Saccharomyces cerevisiae S288C: one gene and its partners. The gene in region 2 interacts genetically with the main gene of each other region. Each region holds a gene or a part of one and is shown on either strand. Other genes may lie near its edges. The genes, in order: CAK1, CTK2 and ACE2.

Region 1 (3,497 bases), on a different chromosome or scaffold from region 2:
CGCTTTGGGAAGAAGTCTTGCAAATAACTAGAAAAGATGCGACTACTGCCAGCAAGAAGGCTTTGAAACGGGTGAGTCTTAATAAATATAGTGCATTACTCAATACAGCATGTGGAAAGCCAGGATGCTTCGATATGAGCACCATTATCTTCTATTTGAGCGAACAAACAAAGATGAACGAGCATTACAAGGAAGAAAAGTATCATGGTGTCGCCGCCAGATCCAAGACAAGGGCGTTGGTCCAAAGACTTGGCCATTTTTTACCCTCCAAATATAACAGGTGGAGCAAAATTTCTTTACTTATCGGGATTGTAGCTATCCTGTACCAATTACGGACTACAAGGTCGTTGAGTTTAGTACTCAATCTACGTTACATGATCTCCACAAAGTTGAAAGACTTATCACATATAAATATAAATTTGCACCACGTTAGTCACATCTGGGTGGATCCGATTAGGGACATTTTGAAACTGGGGCATCCAACTAGATAGCATACAATATACCTTATATACCCATGACATAGAAACAAACTCATATGTAAGGTATTATTATAAAGTGCTTCTTTAAAATTCGCTGCGGAAATTTCTTCGAGGATGACTCAAATAAGAAAAAACGAAAATTCTGAAAGAGAGATTTTTAGTATGGAGAAAACCAGTACTCCTGCATAAGATATCAAGATATTAGATAACTCTCAAGATGGTTTCCCAATTTGCTATTGAGGTGCGTAACCTAACGTACAAATTCAAAGAAAGCTCCGATCCGTCAGTTGTTGATATCAATCTTCAAATCCCATGGAATACAAGATCTTTAGTTGTGGGTGCCAATGGTGCTGGTAAATCCACCCTTTTGAAATTACTAAGCGGTAAGCATCTTTGCCTTGATGGAAAAATCCTGGTCAATGGTCTTGATCCATTCAGTCCATTATCTATGAATCAAGTGGACGATGATGAAAGTGTTGAAGATTCGACGAACTACCAAACGACCACTTATCTAGGTACGGAATGGTGCCATATGAGTATCATTAATAGGGATATCGGCGTCTTGGAACTATTAAAAAGTATTGGATTCGATCATTTTAGGGAAAGAGGTGAAAGATTGGTTAGAATCCTGGACATCGATGTACGTTGGAGAATGCACAGGTTAAGTGATGGACAAAAGAGAAGAGTTCAGTTAGCCATGGGGCTCTTGAAACCTTGGAGAGTTTTACTACTTGATGAGGTCACTGTGGATCTCGATGTTATTGCCAGAGCAAGACTTCTGGAGTTTTTAAAGTGGGAGACCGAAACCAGAAGATGCTCAGTGGTCTACGCTACACATATTTTTGACGGCTTGGCCAAATGGCCTAACCAAGTATACCATATGAAATCAGGTAAGATTGTGGATAATTTAGATTATCAGAAAGACGTAGAGTTCTCTGAAGTGGTCAATGCTAAAGTTAATGGACAAGTGGCCTTTGAAAATGACAACAATAAGGTTGTTATTAGTAAAGTGAATAGTTTGCATCCATTAGCACTAGAATGGTTGAAACGTGATAATCAAATTCCTGACAAAGAGATTGGTATATAACTGAGTATATATAACTGCAAAGACCCCCTGTATAGAAAATATGTATCTTAGTGGAAAATGTGATTTGACTATTTAAGTTATAGAAGTAGTTTGTGATCCTAAAAAAAGGAAAACGACAGAAGTCTCATAGAAGCAAAGAGGCCAGATGAAGAAGAGAGGCAACAAAATTCACGCCCATCTTAATGAAACTGGATAGTATAGACATTACACACTGTCAGTTGGTCAAATCTACTAGAACTGCTAGGATTTATAGGTCGGATACATATGCCATTAAATGTCTAGCACTAGATTTCGATATCCCGCCACATAACGCCAAATTCGAAGTATCGATATTAAACAAACTGGGCAACAAATGTAAGCACATCTTACCTCTTCTAGAGTCTAAGGCTACCGATAATAATGACCTATTGTTGTTGTTTCCCTTTGAAGAGATGAACCTTTATGAGTTCATGCAAATGCACTATAAAAGAGATAGAAGAAAAAAAAATCCCTATTACGATTTGCTAAATCCCAGTATCCCAATTGTTGCGGACCCCCCCGTTCAGAAATATACTAATCAATTGGACGTCAATCGGTATTCTTTGTCCTTTTTCCGGCAAATGGTTGAAGGGATTGCATTCTTACATGAGAACAAGATCATTCACCGCGACATCAAACCGCAAAATATCATGCTAACAAACAATACCAGCACCGTATCCCCAAAGTTGTACATAATTGATTTTGGCATCTCTTATGACATGGCAAATAACTCACAAACAAGTGCGGAACCCATGGATAGCAAGGTGACGGATATAAGCACAGGAATTTACAAGGCCCCAGAAGTGCTTTTTGGAGTAAAATGCTATGATGGTGGCGTGGACGTGTGGTCGTTGTTGATAATTATTTCTCAGTGGTTCCAGAGAGAAACAAGCCGTATGGGGCACGTTCCGGCCATGATTGATGACGGCAGCGACGACATGAACTCAGATGGAAGCGATTTCAGACTGATTTGCTCAATATTCGAAAAGTTGGGCATACCGTCCATTCAGAAATGGGAAGAGGTTGCGCAACACGGCTCGGTTGATGCATTTGTTGGTATGTTTGGTGCAGATGGCGATGGCAAGTATGTACTGGACCAGGAGAAAGATGTACAGATTAGCATTGTTGAGAGGAATATGCCTCGACTGGACGAGATTGCGGATGTCAAAGTCAAGCAGAAGTTCATTAATTGTATCCTGGGGATGGTTTCATTTTCACCAAACGAAAGATGGAGCTGTCAAAGAATCTTGCAAGAATTAGAAAAGCCATAATAAGAAGAATATATAGGTACATATATATATATATATATATATATGAAATGAAAAGTACGAGGGTAATCACTTTTTCCTCTGAAGAGCTAGTTTTATTAAGTCGAAGCAGTTCTTCATGTACGGTAAATTCTTGTTGCAAGCGGTCACACCCATATGTCCAATACGGATATACTTGGGTCCGATGTCCTTGTGAATACCTCCGGCAATGACTACACCGTGTGACTTTAAAAAAGCAATGACATCAGGAGGATCTGCTACGTATACGGCTGTCAACCCGTGCGCAGACATGTTAGAAGGATACCTACTGACGGATGTCAATTGCAAGCCATTAACCAAACTGTCTTTAAACCAATCACTCATTTCACGGTGCAAATCCCATCTCTTATGCAACCCCTCTTCGAGAATTTCTTTCAAGGCTACATCAAGGCTATTAATTAGTTGTACGGGTGGGGTTGCAAAATAAGCTCCTTTACCAGCCTCATAATTTTCCATTATTGGTGTCCATCTTCTCAACGAGGAAAAATACCCATGTACATGACCATTTTTGCTGTCGTTGAGTGCATAATCCATGAATCTGCTACTGCATAGCGAGATAGAAAGACCCGCTGGAGCGCCAATAGCCTTTTGCGAAGCAGTCAAGGC
Region 2 (3,633 bases):
GAGGATCAACTATAATCTATCGAATAGTATTCATATTACTAATATATTATCATGTACGATGTACCAAGATGGCATGAAGATTGAGAAAACAGTCATCAGATTTAATAGATGCTGAAATGCCAGGACTGATAGTGTAACAGAATAATGAATGATATCATATAAATTGGGGAAACAATAATGACAATATTATGTGAAAATATCAATTCTCTTTTGTGGATTACAAGATCCCCTGGAGAACTTCTAGTATGTCCTGTATACCCGGTGCTATATCCTTTAATAACCATGGAATCCGCAAATATTTGATGTAAAGTTTGTTTTTCTTCCCCAACATCCTTTGTATGCTTCAGTAGCTCAGTAGGAAGAGCGTCAGTCTCATAATCTGAAGGTCGAGAGTTCGAACCTCCCCTGGAGCACATTTTCTTTTTTTGTGAATTAAACCTCGAAGCTCAACATTCATGTTTTGAGATAAAAAAAGGTACTTATTACTTGTGTAAAAGAAAGTTTATAATGATGATCTTATTTAAGTTTATAGTAGGACTTTCTATGCATGTCTTGTAGAACTATTTATGCTGGACTCGCCATTAATTAGCTCCAGTGAAAGTACATATCTTCTTTCTTGGACATTATTATCTCTAGTAATAGTGATATAAGGATCGGCATTCAACAGGTGATCTGGTATTTGCGGCAATCCAGATTCTGGTCCTGCGTTTTTTTTCAGTTCCATAAACCTTTCAACGCCAATCGGCAGCAAATCAGCCGGTAAATGACGTTGTAGATCGCACATATCGAATGAATTGATGTAAAAATTGACTATATCAAAATAAGCTTCATTTACGGATTTCTCGTCTGTTTCAAATAAAGAATACCTTTTACTTGACCAATTCTTATTATCTAGTAATTCATATGCTATTTTCAAAATGGCCAATGCAATGGAATGTTGGGGTATGACTAAAATAGTTTCTAGCTTCAAAGCATCATAAGCAATTACCCAAGCCAGATTGCACAACTTATAATCAAAGGATAGCTCCCTACCAATTTTTATAACATATTCATCAATATGAACGTAATTGTTGACTCTATAATCGAATGAGCATGACTCTAATATCCGAAGTTCTATTTGAAATACCCTTTTTTTAAAATTTTCCAAAATGTCCGTATTGATTTTAACCACATTCCTCAATCGTAATGACAAAGTACATATATCATTTGTTTTTTTAATTGTCTCAACTTCTTTACAGCCCAAAGTCAGGCAGCTTGTCGCTACAGTGTAGCAAACCTCGGTCTCGAAGCGATTAAAGAGGTGGTATCTTTGGTAAAAGTATACTGCTGTTTCTAAAGTCTTCCGTGGAAATTTCAGCTGAACACACAAGTCACTTAGAAATTTGAACACGGCAAGTTTTTTCTGGTTGTAATTTCGATAGTCCGATATTGTATTCTTTTGGGCTCTTTGAATTTGCCTTTTAGACAGAAACGGTCTCGAAAAAAAAAGCTGGGATTCAAACGTGCTAGGCATATCAAAGTACGTAATTTTCTTAGTTTTGCTGGCTCTATATCTCCTCTCGCTCTATAGATACAGATATATATATATATATATATATATCTATGTGTATAAAGACGGCTTTCAGGACAGTACTTGTTTGGATTTTTGATCATCGCGGATTTTCGCAATGCAAGTATAAAGAGAGCATTACCCGCCACACAGTGATTCTTCAGCAAGTTGTACCGAAAAGGACCATTTAGGTACGTGGGATCGCAAAGGTTCCCAAACGGTGTGCATCAAGCCGTAGACTTCATGAGTGCTTTCGGTGCAGCAAAAAGATAAGGACAAAAAATACTGAAGGATGCGAGGTTCGAACTCGCGCGGACAACCGTCCAACAGATCTTAAGTCTGCCGCCTTAGACCACTCGGCCAACCCTCCATCTTATTTAAAAATCCTAGGAAATAGATGTTATATAAGTCATACATCATTGAAAACATCAAATACCGTTCCCTGCGTTGTTCTACAGAAAAGCGCATTAGAGTAGGTCATACCCTTTAAAAAATGATTTTGTAAATGCCAGAAAGTAAACAAATATGCATTTCGCCTAGCTCCCAATGTAAATAGCCATAAAAAAGGATAAAATGCCAGATTTAGAGTCAGTTCTCGTTCTTCTTCTTCTCTGTGTTCAATTGTTCAATTGCATTGTTAATCACTGAAATTCTATGTTTCAAATTGGAATGGCAGACTGAACTGAGACCTTCCTTACTTTCTCCTCTATCAAACCTAAATATTCAATCATAACCTTATTTTTTCACTTCCTTTTTCTTACTTTTTTTTTTTTTTTTTTTTTGTATTTTGGAAGGAAAGCAGGGGGGACTTACCATAAGAAAAGCGACTCTAAAAAAGTGTATTTTCTTCCAAAGTTCAGTAAAGACAGCTGGGAAGTATAGTAACAGAGGAGAGAAAGCATAAGGAGACCTCTTGCTGCAGTTCACAACCAAAAATAGCATATCTTTACTATTGTCGCTAACCATTGCGAAACGAGCTAAAGCAACAGCAAACGAAATCCCTAGGTCGAAATGTCATCAAAACCTGATACTGGTTCGGAAATTTCTGGCCCTCAGCGACAGGAAGAACAAGAACAACAGATAGAGCAGAGCTCACCTACGGAAGCAAACGATAGAAGCATTCATGATGAGGTACCAAAAGTCAAGAAGCGTCACGAACAAAATAGTGGTCACAAATCAAGAAGGAATAGCGCATATAGTTATTACAGCCCACGGTCGCTTTCTATGACCAAAAGCAGGGAGAGTATCACTCCAAATGGTATGGATGATGTAAGTATTTCGAACGTGGAACATCCAAGGCCGACAGAACCGAAAATCAAAAGGGGTCCATATTTACTGAAGAAAACATTGAGCAGTCTTTCAATGACGAGCGCGAATAGTACTCATGATGATAATAAAGACCACGGTTACGCTTTGAATTCATCCAAGACGCACAACTACACATCTACTCATAACCATCATGACGGTCATCATGATCATCATCATGTTCAGTTTTTTCCCAATAGGAAGCCATCATTAGCGGAAACCCTATTCAAAAGGTTTTCAGGGTCAAACAGTCACGATGGCAATAAGTCAGGAAAGGAAAGTAAAGTTGCTAACCTTTCCCTTTCAACGGTAAATCCTGCACCTGCTAATAGGAAACCTTCTAAAGACTCCACTTTATCTAATCACTTGGCTGATAACGTGCCAAGCACTTTACGAAGGAAAGTGTCCTCATTGGTACGTGGTTCTTCCGTCCATGATATAAATAATGGTATTGCAGATAAACAGATTAGACCAAAGGCTGTTGCGCAATCAGAAAATACATTACATTCATCCGATGTTCCCAATAGCAAACGCTCGCACAGAAAAAGCTTTCTGCTAGGCTCCACATCTTCTTCAAGCAGTAGAAGAGGTTCAAATGTCAGTTCAATGACTAACAGTGACAGTGCAAGTATGGCGACGTCGGGTAGTCATGTTCTCCAACATAACGTATCTAATGTTTCTCCAACTACTAAAAGTAAGGACAGCGTTAACAGCGAATCCGCCGATCACACTAATAATAAATCCGAGAAAGTGACTCCAGAATATAATGAGAACATTCC
Region 3 (3,761 bases), on a different chromosome or scaffold from region 2:
CGAGTAACTTCTTACACTCCCTGGACGTGATTCTTGTACCATCTTTTGCTCTAATTTTACGTGCGTATCTATGTGTGTGTATTCTATAAGAGTACAAAAAAAAACTGTATATTGTTGTCCTAATTCTATAACTTTTCCATTTGGCTTATCCTTACTTACAGCCACAGAGCTTCTATTCTGTCTCTTCGAGATTTAACCGGCTGGGCCGACAAGAAAAACGGTAGAGCACCATGTGAATATTATACCATAAAGAACAAAGAACAAGAGAACGATCTGTTGGTGGTGTTCTAAAGTGAAGGAGGTTACCAATCGCTTAGAAGAAGACTGGCCTATGGAATTCATATCTGCAGACTATTCTAGCAGTGACGGTAGTGATACCGAGAGCGAAAGTAGTAACAAAAGTGAGGTCCAAATCGAATACACGGAGAAAACTTGCATACAGAAAGCCGATTCCACTGATTTACCTGCAATACCGGATTCAATTATATTGAAGTACCACATCCCTCCGAATTTACAAAAGTACGAGCACCAGGATATGAATATGAGTCGATTTTGGCGTTCGTTCACATATTTTGAGTGGCGTCCGACTCCAGCGATTCACCGACAACTTCAGAAAATCATATGTAAATATAAAGAAACATTTATGAAACAGGAATACACTAATCCGTATCAACTGGTGGATTTTGACCCGTTGTTCATCTCACACTTGGGAGCCCCCAAACCTTTACACGTTTCCTTAACTCGATCGTTGTTGTTTGAAACTGAAGAACAAAGACATGTTTTCATTCAAGAAATGCGTAATGGTTTACGAAATAATGAAATAACCCCTTTTAAACTTCAAATCTGCTCATATCCGAAGTTATATATATCAGAACGAGCCAACACCTTGTACCTCGGTCTCCCTGTCTCAGAATGTCCCAATAAGGCACAAATTTCTCCTTTCAAAACGATAATAGCTGAGGCACTTCAGAAATCAGGCATTTCAAACTATCAGGATTTAATTGTAAGTAGGCAAAATTTACATGTTTCAATTGCCATCGCTAGCAACCCTTCAAAAGCCACATTAAAACGTTATCAACAATTAAACGAGACGATGGGGGCGCTTTTACTACTCAATAATGACTTTGCATACAAACTAGAGTTCTTAGTTAACTCTATCTATTGTGATGAAAACCGTCACTCCATTAGAATCCCTTTTAACTAATAGTGTTATAGGAATAGCCGCCCAAAAATACCGGGGCACTGAGAGCGGCTCGTCAGATAGGTGAAGGTTGTCATAATATACGATATATATCTCAAAACGGCAAAATGTAAACATTGGCACTTTGGGAAAATTTCAGGACACTTTTGGTTTACAGGTAAAGGATAAGGATGCTTGTAGCTAGTAAATCAACTCCAGAAAGCATTTAGCCATTAACGGGCAAATATTAAGGAGGGAGTACTGTTTGTTTACTCGCAATATTTCTGTCCCTTTTCTTTCATTAAGGGTTTTATAGTACACATAAACTTATAACAACCTCTCTCGGCATTGTACCTAGCAAACAAAAGCTACGTTGCAGGGAGACTCAAGCAACAGTTAAAGTGCTAGAAGAAAAAAATACAAGGCATAAATTCAAGAAATAACTAAAGAAATCTATAGGACCAAAAACGGTGTTAATACAATCATGGATAACGTTGTAGATCCGTGGTATATAAATCCCTCAGGCTTCGCGAAAGACACTCAAGATGAGGAGTATGTTCAACATCATGATAATGTCAATCCTACCATACCCCCACCCGACAATTATATTTTGAATAATGAAAACGATGATGGCCTCGATAACTTGTTAGGTATGGACTACTATAACATCGATGACCTGTTGACTCAAGAGTTAAGAGATCTGGATATTCCTTTAGTGCCTTCTCCTAAGACGGGCGATGGTTCTTCTGATAAAAAGAATATTGATAGAACTTGGAACCTTGGTGATGAAAACAACAAAGTCTCCCACTATAGCAAAAAATCAATGTCCTCACACAAGAGAGGTCTAAGTGGCACAGCGATATTTGGATTTCTCGGCCATAATAAGACATTGAGTATTTCCAGTTTACAGCAATCCATTCTAAATATGTCTAAAGATCCGCAACCCATGGAACTCATAAATGAATTGGGTAATCATAATACGGTAAAAAATAACAATGATGACTTTGACCATATAAGGGAAAATGATGGTGAAAATAGCTATTTGAGCCAAGTTTTGTTGAAACAGCAGGAGGAGTTAAGAATTGCTCTTGAAAAACAAAAGGAAGTGAACGAAAAATTGGAGAAGCAGTTGAGAGACAATCAAATACAGCAAGAAAAGTTGCGTAAAGTATTAGAAGAGCAAGAAGAGGTGGCGCAGAAGTTGGTTTCTGGGGCTACAAATTCTAATTCCAAACCTGGATCTCCAGTAATACTAAAGACACCTGCCATGCAAAACGGTAGAATGAAAGATAATGCTATAATCGTCACAACGAACTCTGCAAATGGCGGATATCAATTTCCTCCTCCGACGTTAATATCGCCTCGGATGTCAAATACTTCAATAAATGGTTCACCATCCAGGAAATACCATAGGCAACGATATCCAAATAAAAGCCCAGAAAGTAATGGATTGAACCTTTTTTCCTCTAACAGTGGTTATTTGAGAGATTCTGAACTGCTTTCATTTTCTCCACAAAATTATAATTTAAACTTGGACGGCTTGACTTATAATGACCATAATAACACCAGTGATAAAAACAATAATGATAAAAAAAATAGTACTGGTGATAACATATTCCGTCTGTTCGAAAAGACTTCCCCGGGTGGGCTAAGTATCTCTCCAAGGATAAATGGAAATAGTTTGAGATCGCCCTTCCTCGTCGGCACAGATAAAAGCAGGGATGATCGATATGCTGCTGGCACGTTCACGCCTAGAACACAGTTGTCACCTATCCACAAGAAAAGGGAATCCGTAGTTTCCACGGTCTCGACAATATCACAACTGCAGGATGACACTGAACCCATCCACATGCGAAATACCCAGAACCCAACATTAAGAAATGCAAACGCTTTAGCGTCATCAAGTGTACTACCTCCTATTCCTGGTTCCAGCAATAACACTCCAATTAAGAATTCTTTGCCACAAAAACATGTATTTCAACATACTCCCGTCAAAGCTCCACCAAAGAACGGAAGTAACCTAGCTCCGCTTCTAAATGCACCGGATTTAACAGATCATCAGTTAGAAATTAAGACACCCATACGAAATAACAGTCACTGTGAAGTGGAAAGCTATCCGCAAGTACCACCTGTCACACATGATATTCACAAAAGCCCCACTTTGCATAGTACGTCTCCTTTACCAGATGAAATAATACCTAGGACTACGCCAATGAAAATAACCAAGAAACCAACTACTCTGCCTCCGGGTACCATTGACCAGTACGTCAAGGAACTACCCGACAAACTATTCGAGTGCTTATACCCTAACTGTAACAAAGTATTCAAGCGTAGATACAACATAAGGTCGCATATTCAGACACATTTGCAAGATAGACCGTATTCATGCGACTTTCCCGGTTGCACCAAGGCGTTTGTTCGCAATCATGATTTAATAAGACACAAAATCTCCCATAATGCCAAGAAATACATCTGCCCATGCGGAAAGAGATTTAATAGGGAGGATGCTCTAATGGTGCATAGAAGTCGGATGATTTGCACCGGCGGTAAGAAATTAGAACATTCGATCAACAAGAAACTT

The links.
Region 1: mutations in CTK2 (region 2) and CAK1 together harm fitness less than expected from each alone (positive genetic interaction), as found in Saccharomyces cerevisiae (2 studies listed by BioGRID).
Region 3: of CTK2 (region 2) and ACE2, a mutation in one rescues a mutant of the other (synthetic rescue), as found in Saccharomyces cerevisiae (one study listed by BioGRID).

What each region holds. Positions count from the first base shown.
Region 1 is NC_001138.5:77,413-80,909, reverse strand, and holds CAK1 (cyclin-dependent protein kinase-activating kinase CAK1), read left to right. Parts: upstream 1-1,748; coding exon 1,749-2,855; downstream 2,856-3,497. Other genes in the region: GTPase-activating protein GYP8, read left to right, coding at 1-491; putative ATP-binding cassette family ATPase CAF16, read left to right, coding at 697-1,566; AGX1 (alanine--glyoxylate transaminase), read right to left, coding at 2,922-3,497.
Region 2 is NC_001142.9:422,597-426,229, forward strand, and holds CTK2 (Ctk2p), read right to left. Parts: upstream 1,514-3,633; coding exon 542-1,513; downstream 1-541. Other genes in the region: YJL007C (uncharacterized protein), read right to left, coding at 102-416; CYR1 (adenylate cyclase), read left to right, coding at 2,561-3,633. UniProt on the Saccharomyces cerevisiae protein: Cyclin subunit of the CTDK-I complex, which hyperphosphorylates the C-terminal heptapeptide repeat domain (CTD) of the largest RNA polymerase II subunit.
Region 3 is NC_001144.5:404,726-408,486, reverse strand, and holds the start of ACE2 (DNA-binding transcription factor ACE2), read left to right. Parts: upstream 1-1,664; coding exon 1,665-3,761. Other genes in the region: bifunctional choline kinase/ethanolamine kinase CKI1, read right to left, coding at 1-42; USB1 (phosphoric diester hydrolase), read left to right, coding at 332-1,204. UniProt on the Saccharomyces cerevisiae protein: Plays a role in regulating basal-level expression of CUP1. Activates EGT2 transcription in the absence of SWI5.